Rattus norvegicus: one gene and its partners. The protein of the gene in region 2 interacts with the protein of the main gene of each other region in a pairwise test. Links are inferred from orthologs where the notes say so. Each region holds a gene or a part of one and is shown on either strand. Other genes may lie near its edges. The genes, in order: Ube2k, Rnf185 and Yipf2.

What was found.
Region 1: the proteins of Rnf185 (region 2) and Ube2k interact in binary tests that used the Homo sapiens proteins (3 or more experiments, as listed by UniProt). The link is inferred for Rattus norvegicus from reciprocal best matches to the Homo sapiens genes RNF185 and UBE2K.
Region 3: the proteins of Rnf185 (region 2) and Yipf2 interact in binary tests that used the Homo sapiens proteins (3 or more experiments, as listed by UniProt). The two-hybrid records come from large-scale screens. The link is inferred for Rattus norvegicus from reciprocal best matches to the Homo sapiens genes RNF185 and YIPF2.

The regions. Positions count from the first base shown.
Region 1 is NC_086032.1:43,069,370-43,073,705, forward strand, and holds the start of Ube2k (ubiquitin-conjugating enzyme E2 K), read right to left. Parts: upstream 2,802-4,336; 5' UTR 2,634-2,801; coding exon 2,571-2,633; intron 1-2,570. UniProt on the Homo sapiens protein: Accepts ubiquitin from the E1 complex and catalyzes its covalent attachment to other proteins. In vitro, in the presence or in the absence of BRCA1-BARD1 E3 ubiquitin-protein ligase complex, catalyzes the synthesis of 'Lys-48'-linked polyubiquitin chains.
Region 2 is NC_086032.1:82,525,937-82,529,472, forward strand, and holds part of Rnf185 (E3 ubiquitin-protein ligase RNF185), read right to left. Parts: intron 2,580-3,536; coding exon 2,561-2,579; intron 384-2,560; coding exon 271-383; intron 1-270. UniProt on the Homo sapiens protein: E3 ubiquitin-protein ligase that regulates selective mitochondrial autophagy by mediating 'Lys-63'-linked polyubiquitination of BNIP1.
Region 3 is NC_086026.1:28,418,626-28,422,795, reverse strand, and holds the start of Yipf2 (protein YIPF2), read left to right. Parts: upstream 1-1,340; 5' UTR 1,341-1,421; exon of another isoform or gene 1,422-1,426; intron 1,427-1,562; 5' UTR 1,563-1,592; coding exon 1,593-1,623; intron 1,624-1,914; coding exon 1,915-2,069; intron 2,070-2,152; coding exon 2,153-2,233; intron 2,234-2,665; coding exon 2,666-2,753; intron 2,754-3,738; coding exon 3,739-3,855; intron 3,856-3,933; coding exon 3,934-4,100; intron 4,101-4,170. Other genes in the region: Timm29 (mitochondrial import inner membrane translocase subunit Tim29), read right to left, coding at 309-997, 1,077-1,191.

The DNA of each region.
Region 1 (4,336 bases), about 39 Mb from region 2:
TCAGAGATCTGCCTGCCTCTGCTTCTCCCGTGCTGGGATCAAAGTGTGCTCTGACAGGTCAGTTATCTTTACAAAGGCACTTAAAACAGGCAAAAAGGAAATCAAGTTGTAAGACCCACCAAAACACTACCAAATGAATTAAACCTGTATGACACGGTGAATTAATGACTTGACCAACTACTCAAAAGCTCATATTTAGGGTTGGGGATTTAGCTCAGCGGTAGAGCGCTTGCCTAGCGAGCGCAAGGCCCTGGGTTCGGTCCCCAGCTCCGAAAAAAAAAAAAAAAAAGCTCATATTTACGCACTTAAAAGGGAAATATGTAGACTGCACTATGGGTTCTTCACTCAGGTGAAATCAACACAACCTATCTAGGGAAATGAAATAAAATACTGGTGAGGATAAAGCTAACTGTTGGCTGTGGTTTTTTACAATATTAAATTTTATCTGATCTTTTCCAAAATATTCTTTGCAACTTACTTCCTTGAACTGAATTCCCTGCTAGGTTTTTAAGGCACCATTCTTGAACTCATATTTCCTATTTCCTTCCTGAGAACCATTGACAATGTTTTTAACCAGAGGAGGAGCTTTTATCCGATTTGCACACTTGGGTGTAGAGGTCAAAGAGAAACCTTCTAGCATGTGGGTCTGAATCTGAACTCGGTCATCAGGCTCCTCAGCCATCAATTAAATAGTAGAACAGTAAATGGAGCTGGCCACTCAGCCCATCAGTTAAATAGTAGAATAGTAATAATATGTACTACTAGAGTCATACAAATGCCGATAATCTTCAACTTAAACACCAAATGCCATGGTGAAAAGTCAGACCACACAAAGCAAAGAGGGTATATCAATTTTCAGGGCAGTAACTTGACACTTTTAGATAAAAGAAAGCATGAGAGGTCTAAAGACCCATACAACCTTATTATAGAATACATGTTGTAGGTTGTTAACAACATAAGAATATACAACGACCCCAAACTAAGTTTGCTTATTAAAGAAAAAGTTTAAATAAATCACCATTAAAAATGTGAATACTGTCATTCATATTGTTTCTGCATTGTTTCACAAAAATACAAAGTCATCCTTCCATTCAGAGTTTTGGCAAATGAATACAGAGGTCAGAGTTCATGCTACGTAAGACAGATCCCTACGTATTTCTTAGTATGCTCACTAACGCTGCTAACATTGTCACTTCAATTTTAAGTGACTTTCTTCATGTCTACTTGGAACGATGGATAATTGTCTGCAAGCTTGGGGGCACAATAAAGCTGGAGAGCTACAAGATTTCTAACAATTTCTCATATGCTTAAAATGACGAATTTTAAAAATCATTAATGACATTATCAGAGTACCAAGCAAGCATAATAGGAAAACTGTGAACCTTGAAAAAAATAATTACTTTCAGAATTGTTAAGTTCAATCATAGAAAAACTGGCATTTTTGTCGATTTAGCACTTTTATAGCAGAGTAAAATTATTACTTTCAATATTTCACATAAATAAATCTGGTAAGCATTAATATGCTTAAAATTTGCAGGACTTACAGGCAGTCAGAGTTTTATTTTTTAAATATGCTATTTCCTGATATATTTTGTGACAGAAAAATAAACCTAACTCAATAATGAGCTACAACAATGTGTATCTGATGAAATCCCTTGGTTTTAATAGGCCTCTTTTTAAAAGTAAGACTCAAGTTAACTATGAGGGACATCATAATGAAGTTTCACAGTACAACACTAGTCACAGAGGCATTACCCTAGGAGAGCCTCTCTGATACGGGTGAACAGTATTTTGAAATAAGCTACTCACACACTCCCATTATTCTTCCTATTTCAAATCATTTAATTAACAAACAACTTGCCTTTGACTAGACAAAAAGCTTTAAATATCAGTGAGGAGGCCTAGTTACTTACTGGCTGGGTACGTAGAAAAGAGATGACTATCTAATTTGGAATTATTTTTTTATCTATAGTGAAAATTGTTTCAACACCCCTTCCCAATTCAAGAATGCCCATTATGTCTCCATAGATCCCCCAGCACTGTACCGTAAGGGAGCAACTGAAAGTCTTCTCGTCTATACCTAAAGACTGTGAAGGCTCCTTCCCCAAGGAAAAGACAGCAAAGGCCTGGCAGGCAATATCCCCAGTACCCCTGAAAGCGTGGGCCTGTGAGGTGCGCTGCTGCCGGGGATCTAGTTACTACCTTTCCCCTTCCCCCAACCCACTTCCCGGGTTTTCTCGGCCTGTTCCTTCCCCACCGTACAGTCACACTTCCAGATGTTGTTGCCGCCGCCTCGGGGCTCTCTCTAGAGCTCACGTGCCCGGGACGAGTGCTTCGGCATCTGCCCCCCAAACCCTGTTCCTCCCCAGGCCGGCCGGCCGCCCGCGAGACCGCCTATCCCAGGGCCCGGGGAGGGGAGGGAAAGGCGGCGGGAGGAGGAGGGGAGACCGCCGCTTCCCCATAGGCAGAAAGGCGGCCGCAGCGAGGCCGGCTGGGACCGCCGGGGTCGCGGAAGGAAGGGCCCTGCCGCCCTGGGCTGAGATGGGGGTGTCCGGTAGCTCATTCCTGACCTCCTCGCTCTTCAGCACCTCCTTGAACTCCCGCTTGATTCGCTGCACCGCGATGTTGGCCATGTCTCTGCCCGCAGCTGATTCGTACCCGCCTCCTCCGCCACCGCTACGACCACCGCCACCGCTGCCACCTCTTCCTCCACCGCCTCCTCCCTCAGTGATTCAGACCCGAGCACACGAACGCTGCCACTGCCACCCTTGCCGTCGCGTTCCCCCTCAGTGTAGAATCACCTCCGCGCCCGGCCACCAAAATGGCGCCGGGTCCGCGCATGCGCACCACGCTGACCCGGGCGGGCGGCGCAGCCGCTCCAGTGGTAGCCCCATACGTCTCAGCAGCGAGCCCGCGCCGCGCGTCTCAGCCGGGGCTTCGGCCGCGTGGCTCCGCCCTGCCGGCGGCTGGGGCCAGGAGGGTGCGGTTTCTGTGCCGGTCCGCGGGGTTTGGGCCTGCGGGGTCCTCCCCTGCCCCTCGGCCCCCTTTACGGTGAGGCCTCCAGTCCCTAGCCACGGACCCGAGGTGGGAGCCCCGCCTGGCGGGTTCCCGGGGCCCCAGCCGGGCTGAGCCTCGCTCTAACTCGGCCAGACCCAGAACCCACGGGCTAGAGGTGCCTCCCTGTGTCTAGCGGAGGAAAAAACTATGCAGGAACTGGGTCCTGCCCAGCGTCCGTTGGTAAACCCCCGGGATATCCACTGCCGTAGCTTTTGTTCTGGAACCATGATAACGCAACTATTATTCGGTCATCTCAGGTATTACAGATTTTTAAGGTTGTGTAATGGTTGCGTCCCACGGGTTGTAATTGATACAGGTGTTGCCGGGGACAGGCCTGTGATGAGTTTAAAAGCCAGAAGTTAAATCTTTGACCTGTTTAGATAGTCAATGCTGAGCTGTAGAACTAACATGTTTTTCAAACTTGAACGCACCTCGGAATCCCTGGAGAGCTGGTTAGATTACTAGGACCTATCCCTAGAGTCTGGATGGGGCTAAGAATTTGCATTGCGAGCAAACTCCCTGCTGCCTGTTTTTCAGCGACCACGCTGTGAGAATGGCTGAATTAAGCATGTGAAAGTCTGTATAATTTATAGTGACAGTTGGAGAAATAGAAGGCCGAAAGAACTTTAGACCTACAAAGGTTTTTGGCGCTCGTAGATGTCAATAAGCAGTGAGTGAATATAATTGAGTGGAGAAAAGATGACCGAGTAAAATGTTTTAATTGAGCAACAACGTTGAGAGGCTATTTGAAAGTGGTTAGTAGAGTTTAAAACAAATAACGGAATGTAGATGCTGAGGAATACTTTTGAAAATAACATTGTGAAATAATGAAGGTATTATTTTAGGAGTATGTTTCATGTATTCACCTAATCAATCAGTTCAGTATTCCATCATAAGACTAATACGAGCTGAATGTAGTGGTATAGGCTTGTAATCCTAGATTGGGAGACAGAAGCAGGAGGATCATGAGTTCGAGAGAAACCAGTCTAAGAGTGCTCCCACTTCTCTCCTATATCCGTTGCCAGCTGCGGTTCCCTCGTCTGTGAAATGAGGAGGTTGTTTAAACTTAAGAGTTCAAAATTCTGAAACATCTCAAAGCCTTTCCCTGAGTAGACAGACATAAATTATAAAAGATCTTATAGCAGAGCCCTCTAGTGGTTATAAGGACCGTCAACTATATACTGAACAACTGAACACTACAAAGGATTTTTGCTATGATATAAATCTAGAAATGTTGTAGGTATCTATGCCAATACAACCTAAAACACTTTCTATCCCA
Region 2 (3,536 bases):
GGCTGTGGAAAGTGCTTTCCCAACACGGCACGGCTTTTGCTTGCTGGCAGATGACACTGAGCGCCTACTGAACACGGGCCAGCAGCAAGTGGTAAGCCTGGCTCCTCTACTTTCAGGCCTCACCCTTCCCAGGTGACTCTCACGTCTGTCAAAATGCCTCAAAACCAAGCAGCCATCAACAAACACCAAACTAAAGGTAGGGTTAGAGTGCTAAGAAGAAGCAAACAACATTCCATCCGAGTGGGACATGCTATCAGACCAAGTCTTTACCTGGGATCCTGCTGTCCAGTGCTGCCTCTGCCATAGAGTGGGATGACCTTGTCCCGGCTGATTCCCGCTTTGCAAACTGGACATACTTGTCTGTTAGGTCTAGTCTCCAACCACTGTGAGTGAGAGAAAACACAAGAATGAACCAAAGCTGCCCTGTCCTTACCGTGGGAAACACCAGCAGAAGTAGCCTGAGGTGGGAACATTTAGGAACCATAATCTAATTTCTGTTTCTAGCATTGAAAAATATTTACTGGGGATAAAATCAAAATTGCCTTTAAATAACAGTAATTAAACAAGTTTCTCTCTCAGTTACTCTCCGGGGACAGGCAGAGGAGCTGCAAGCCCGAGGCTCCTGGCAGGCTCCTGGTGTGAGCGGAACCTTACTTTCAGGATCAATCAAATTACCCATTACCTCAGTTTTCTTTCTGTGATTTCTCAGTTTTCTTAAAAACATATCTAGTTTTTAATTATGTATATGTCAGTAGAGGGCGAGGGTATATGCAAACAAATGTATGTGCCCTCGGAGGCCTGAAGAGGAAGCTAGAGCTGGAGTTACAGGAAGCTGTGAATATGGGTACTGGGAACTGAACTTGGGTCCCTTCGAAGAGCAGTACGTGTTCTTAACTGCTGAGCTGTCCCTCCATTCCCAACTTCTCATTTTTACAGCATTTCCCCCAAAAATGGTATAACCTGACATCAGCACTTGGCTGCATTAATCATTTTTTGGTCACCTTGTACTGTGTTAAGGGATAGAGTTTGCTCGTTATCTAAAGTGTTACATGTGTATTTCTTTTTTCTTTTTGAAGCAGAGTCTCATGTATCTGAAGATGTCGCTGAACTATCCTTAATCCTCACGTCCTTTGCTCCCTCAGTACAAGGATTACAGAAGTATGTTGCCATGCCTAACCTGTGACCTCTTTCTGGGCACTAGGGGTGTCTTATGTATATTTTCTCAGCCTTTATTTATTTTCAGTACTAGGGAGTAAACTCAGAGCCTTGCACATCGTCAGTACACACACTGTGGATGAATTATGCCCAGCACCCAATATATTTTTGGATGTAAACTGCATCTCTAGCTATGAAGATTAAAAAGTTTATTAAATGAGCGTGAGTCAACGACTTCAGACAGACAGAAATAGCAGCATTTCATGACTTTACATCCTACACTCCCTACCTGCCAACAGCTCTAAAACCTAAGTCACACGATCTCCTAACGCTCACACTGATATGTTCTAGCAAATCTATTCTCAAGTTCATGTGAGTCAGACTGCTCATCCCTAGTTCCTTCTTCCCCTATGAGGAAACAGCAGTCTACTCCCTGCCCTCCCCACACCCTCTAAGCCACCTAGGAGTGTGACGCTGCACTCTGACGCCCGTGGAAATGGCCATCTGGCTATGACTGTTCACCTGTTCCAGTTGCCAATGCCGGGCTCAGTTCTTAGTGAACACTGACTAGTTTTCATAATACATTAAAACAAGGCTTTCCTCCTCTGCAAAAGCTATCCAATTCACAGCAAAAAAGGCTTACTGTCTTCTCAACAATCTAAGACCTTTCAGGACAGAGGTGCACTGATAAGAAAGGAGCTACCTTTTTATTTCTTCAAGATTTAATTTTATCTTGGTGTGTGTGTGTGTGTGTGTGTGTGTGTGTGTGTGTGTGTACTCCCACAAGTGTTGGAGCCCCTGGAGCTAGAGTTACAGGTGCTAGGCACTGAAATTGGCCCCTTTGCAAGAGCAGTAAGCACTCCAGCCCAGAAGTTATCTTTTTATAAATGTAAGAGCTCGGAAACAAAAAATGATCTAATAGGTGAGGATGTGACTTAGCAGATCAATTGTTTAGCAAGCAAGACATCCTGGGTTCCCAGCATTACACGAAGTCGGCATTGGGATGCACATCTACAGCCCCAGCACTCTGAGGCAGCATCCTTAACTACATAGTGAGTGTGGGATATACTTGGGGTACATTTGATCTTGTCTTGAAACAAACAAACAAACAACAAAAAAAGGGAGCTAACACTATCAAGTCCACCCATGTGCAAACGAGTCATTGGGACACAGGCAAGTGGTGGCCACAAGCCTATATGGCTATTATTGGCAGACCCAGGACTAATTCAGATATGGAAAGACCTCCTTATTACATCAAATACCGGTCAGCAGACAGGTGCATAAAAAGGGCAACTGAGCGCAGAAGCGAGGGAGATTGCAGCTTCTGACAGCAGTCCCCTGAGACCAGGGCTGTCTTGTGCAACTCTAGCTGATGAAAGACAAAGTAAAATGAAGTACATCTTACCTGATGTAAACACGGCCAACTACAGAGTCCCCAGGGCGGCCAATCATCAGGAAGGAAAGCAGGAAGAAGGAGAAAAATGCTTTCATTAGCAGAGACACTCCACGAGTAGAGAAGGGACATCAAAAGGGGATAACTGGAGTACAGGGAGGCTTCCCATGAATTACTGGCATCACATATAGGAAAAGGTATGGAGGCACACATCTGGCATCCAGCACTCGGGAGGGAGTTCAAGGTCATCCTCAACTACACAGTGAAATGGAGTTTACAGTCTAGGCTCTAGAAGACCCTGTCTTGAAACAACAACAAAATTAAAGAACAACATAGACAAGAAAAAGCTAAACCTGCAGGAGAACGAAGAGAGTAGAGACACGATTCCATTCTCCAGCCAGAACCCCACTTTAAAGGAACCCTTCCCCCCAAAACCAAACCAACCAAGCACAATTTATCATAGGTTAGTCCTTCAGATATTATAGTCTCTGAAGGTTTCTAAGTCAAGTATTCTCTGTAAGAAAAGTCAGCACTGCCATGTAACATGTGACAGCACAAAAGCACACACACATACATATGCGCACAACATGCACTGCATCAGGTGGGTCACGGCCTTCTCTGGCTCACACGTGACATATAGGTTTCCTATTATTTCAGATCCAATTTAACAAACTGCTCTTCTAGCAGGAAGTGGCTTGAAAGACTAGCCCTACTCAAAACTTCTTTGTAATGGGAAAGATGGAGAGGCTACTCAGGAAAGGTTACCTCTATCTTACAGAGCTGCTGCCAACATTTCTTCCTTTTTTTCTCTTTTTAAATTAAAATATTTATGTAAATACAGGGTTTCACCATATAGCCCAAACTAGCTTCAGACTCCTGGTCCACTGCCTCAGACTTCAGGACATTAAGTTTATTTGTTTATTTATTTATTTATTTATTTTTTTGGTTCTTTTTTTCGGAGCTGGGGACCGAACCCAGGGCCTTGCGC
Region 3 (4,170 bases), on a different chromosome or scaffold from region 2:
GGCATGCTAGGCAAATGCTCTACCCTTGAAGTCCATCCCCAGCAACAACAGGCTACACAGCAAAGGTTCCTTATTAGTAGATCTTGCAGCGGTAAGCACAAGGTCAAATGCTTCATGTTCGAAAGCAGTCTTTCAGCTCTTCTGTATCTCTAAGACCAGTAAGGCTCCCAATTAGCTTCGGCAAACAGGACAGACAGAGCTAGAACGTCCCACAAAATCACAACGAGGGTCATTTATCTCTACCCATCTCACCAACTGCACCATCTGTGGCCAACAGTTTGCCTGCGCCTGGGGGCACCCTTCGTTTTTCACCTGGAAACATCGGACTGAACTAGTGAATTAGCCTCGCTCAAAGCTAGCCGATCCTTTTTCTCCTTCTGTAACACCTGCTCCTCCCACAGCGCCTGGTCCACCTGATCGACGGTGAGTATGATCGGCTTGTATTTCTCTTCGAACAGCCTCTCATTGGCCTCTGAGTGCAGCTGGTGAGGCCCGACGACGCGCAGGTGCGCAGGCAGGTGGAGAAACTCGTCGTCGTTGATGTCGCAATCATGCATGCGGTTCTTCAGGACCCACCAGCGGCCTACGAACCCCACGTCGAGGACCCGACCGGGGAAGTCGACCCAGCGTGGCTGCAGGTAGCGGCAGCGGGCCTGGTAGAGGCTGGCCTGGGCGTCGAAGGGCGCTTCGTAAACCAACGAGCAGAACCCCAGGTTCACGTGACGCAGCCGCCCGCGGCCCCTCAGCCACAGCAGGCGCTGCAAGAACTCTTCCGAGTGGCGGTTGCGCGTGGCCGGCGCCAACAGCAAGAGAGAACTTGATGCGTCAAGCAAGGCCTCCTCGAATGCCGCCTCACTGGGCGCCAGCGCACAGCACGCAGCAGCGCCGCCAAGCAGCCCCACGTACAGGGCCGCGCGGCCGGGTCGAGCTCGCGCAGCAGCCGCCGCGTCTCCGCACGCCTCGGCGTAATCCCGAAGCAGCGCGCGGGACCAGGTGCCTGAGGGGAAAGAAGCGCTGCAGTGACAATGATTCAGCCACTTGGGCCACCCACCCTGCAGCCTTCTGCCACTACTCACCCAGTCGCGTCCACAACCCTGGCTTAACCGCCACTGTCGTGGTACCACTTGCCTCTCCTCCCGCTTCACTGCGTCCACGGGACCAGAATCTCTTCAGAGCTGCTGTCATCATCATTTTCCGGCGGTTCCTCAGTCGAGGGGAAACACATAGTGCCGGAATGAAAAGGGCTGGAGAGTAGATCCTGCGCAAGCGCAAGATACAGGAAGTAGTTTCCCACTGGAAGACAATAGGAAACGGACTAGTGCCGGATGTTGCCGTTGCGTCGAGAAGGGTGGGCTCTGACGGGTAGGCGAGCGGCGCGCACGCGCACGGAGCAAGAGCCACGCCAGCTTAGGTAGCTTCAGGTGAGGAAGGTGGGGTGCTTCTGCAGGGCCCTAGCTTGGAGCTGAAGCTTCATTACTCCGTGTGTTAGGCTCCATGCAGGAGTCCAGACGGAAGCATTAGTCTTGGGGAGGGCTGTGGGACTGATGCGGTTCTGTCCACAGAGTGTGATGCAGTGACGCCTCCAAAGAACCATGGCAGCAGCCGACGATCTGGCCTTCCACGGTGAGTGGAGCCCGGAAGTGGTCAGAGCTCCTAGCCCTGTCCTAGGCTAGAACCCTAAGCAGTTGGGTCCCAGACCTCAGGTTCATCCTGCACTCAATTCCCGCTCCTTCCATGAACTCAAAAGGCAAATCACCGCCTCCAACTCTGCACAGGACCTAAATTGAACACCATCTTAGTAGACGAGCAGATCTACAGTCCATCAAAACCGAACCCAGCCCTTAGGGGAGGGTGGTGAGGCAGTCACAGCCCTTTCAGACTCCAAACACCTGTGCCCATATTCCCTCTCCGTAGAGTTCGAGGAAGCTGCAAATCTTCTGGCAGAAACCCCAGATGCAGCAACCACGAGCCAAAGTGATAAGCTGACCTCACAAGAGCATGTGGCTGTGGTTGTGGGTTCAGGCATTGGCTATGGAGCCGAAGGAGAGGAAGAGGATGACAAAACATCAGTGAGTCTCCTAGGCCCCGATATACTCTGCCTCTGTCCTTACTCTGACTAAGCAGGCAGGTTCTGAAAGCCTTTGTCTTATAGCTTCTACAGGATGAAAAGCCACAGCCAAGATTCTGGACGTTTGACTACTATCAGAGCTTTTTTGATGTAGACACCTCCCAGGTGAGGCCTTGGACATTGGTGGTGACGACTTGGAGTTTCTTGGGGTTCAGCCACTATTCTTGGGGACTGAATTTGGATGGGATGGGTATAGTGGGACTGGAAAGCAAAAACTAGGTTACAAAGTAGATGTGGATGGTATGTGTCTTAAAGGCAGTATGTTTCCCAGTCAGACCAACCTCTAATAATAAACCAGGTCCTCTGAGAGGGTACATCCTGGAAATTAGGAGGGAGACCATCTAGAACAGGGAGACTGTCCTTACTTTGTCTGGGAGGAGAGGCTGCAGGAAGCTGAGAGCAAGGTGGCAGGCCTGAAATCCACCTTCACAGTGGGTGACGTGTTCCAGCTTGTTCAGGTAGGATGTGCTGGCAAGACAGTGGATGCCTCTCAGAATGCAGGGGTTCTCATTTTGGACCCTTGGTTTTGTTCTCTAGGTCTTGGACAGGATCAAAGGTTCCCTGCTGCCCCATCCTGGCCACAACTTTGTGCGTCACCATCTTAGAAATCGTCCTGACTTATATGGTAAGTGGGTCTATGTTTGAATCAATGGAGTATTATTCAACATGGGACTGTGCCTGGTCCTGAACAGGGCAGTCATGCACAAAGAGCAGACTTGTGTTTAGTTGAGGGAGACACCAAGAAGGGAAGCAGAAGGTGGTAGGTCTGGCTAACTCAGAGGGTGAGTGGCATTGCTGTCTGGTATAGGGAAGTCAGCAAGGTCCCTGAGTAGGGTCGGCAAATGAGTTATGCTGGCATTGGTGGTGAGAGGCTTAGAAGAGGACCCAGAAAGCTTCTAGGTCCCATGGTGGAAACAAGTGAGTTGCGCATAGTGGCATAGGTCATTGCAGTGGAAGAAGCTGGGAAGTCATGAGTAGGGGATGAGTACATGAGTCCCATATAGTGGTGGGAAGGGATCTTACTGAAGGATTTCAGGATCTCCTCTGGCATTGGAAAGCCAACAAGAGCAGGCAGGGCACAGACATTACATTGGAGGCTGTGAGGAAGAGTGGTTGTTGGTCCTAGAGTATGCCCACAACCTAGAGGACTGAGAAAGGCTGGAGTAGCTTTCTACCCAGTTAACCAACACAGTTGCCATGGGTGGACAGGAAAAGCTGGACAGGTACGAGGAGCAGATCAAGTGTCTAGAGGCCCAGGTCATATGTATGAATTTTCAAAAAATAAGCATGTAAACCCAGGGCCCTGGGGCAGTTTGGGAGTGACACATAAAGATGGAATGCATGAAGCCTCTGGACAAGATCCTGCCCACAGTGGAGAACCACCAAGCCTCTTCTACCTATCTACAGACAGTTTTGTCAGAGAAAAGAGCTAAGTGCTTGAGGCATTTTAGAAGGTATTTCCAGAAAGAGAGGATCAGCCCAGCTGCAGCACTTGTGAGCAGTGACTTAGAGAGTCAAATGGAGTCTGGGGTCTTAGCAGAACACTTATGTAGGACATAGACACCTTTCCCAGGAAGAATGTGCCTGGGACTCCATTTCCCCCTTTGCAGGCCCCTTCTGGATTTGTGCCACCCTGGCCTTCGTCCTGGCGGTTACTGGCAATCTCACTTTGGTGCTTGCACAGAGACGGGACCCCTCCATTCACTATAGCCCCCAGTTCCACAAGGGTAAGCAGAGCGGGTGGGCTCAGCTCTTGGATGCCAGGGTCCAAGGGCATGCAGTGACTGCCCACATTGCATCTCTAGTGACTATAGCAGGCATAACCATCTACTGCTATGCGTGGCTAGTGCCGCTGGCACTGTGGGGCTTTCTCCGGTGGCGCCAGGGCACGAGGGAACGCATGGGGCTGTACACCTTCCTGGAGACTGTGTGTGTCTACGGCTACTCACTCTTTGTCTTCATCCCAACTGTGGTGAGTATGGCTTGGCTCTGGGAAATGCTAGGAGCTACGTGGACCACCAGTGTGGTCATCAGCTGTATTT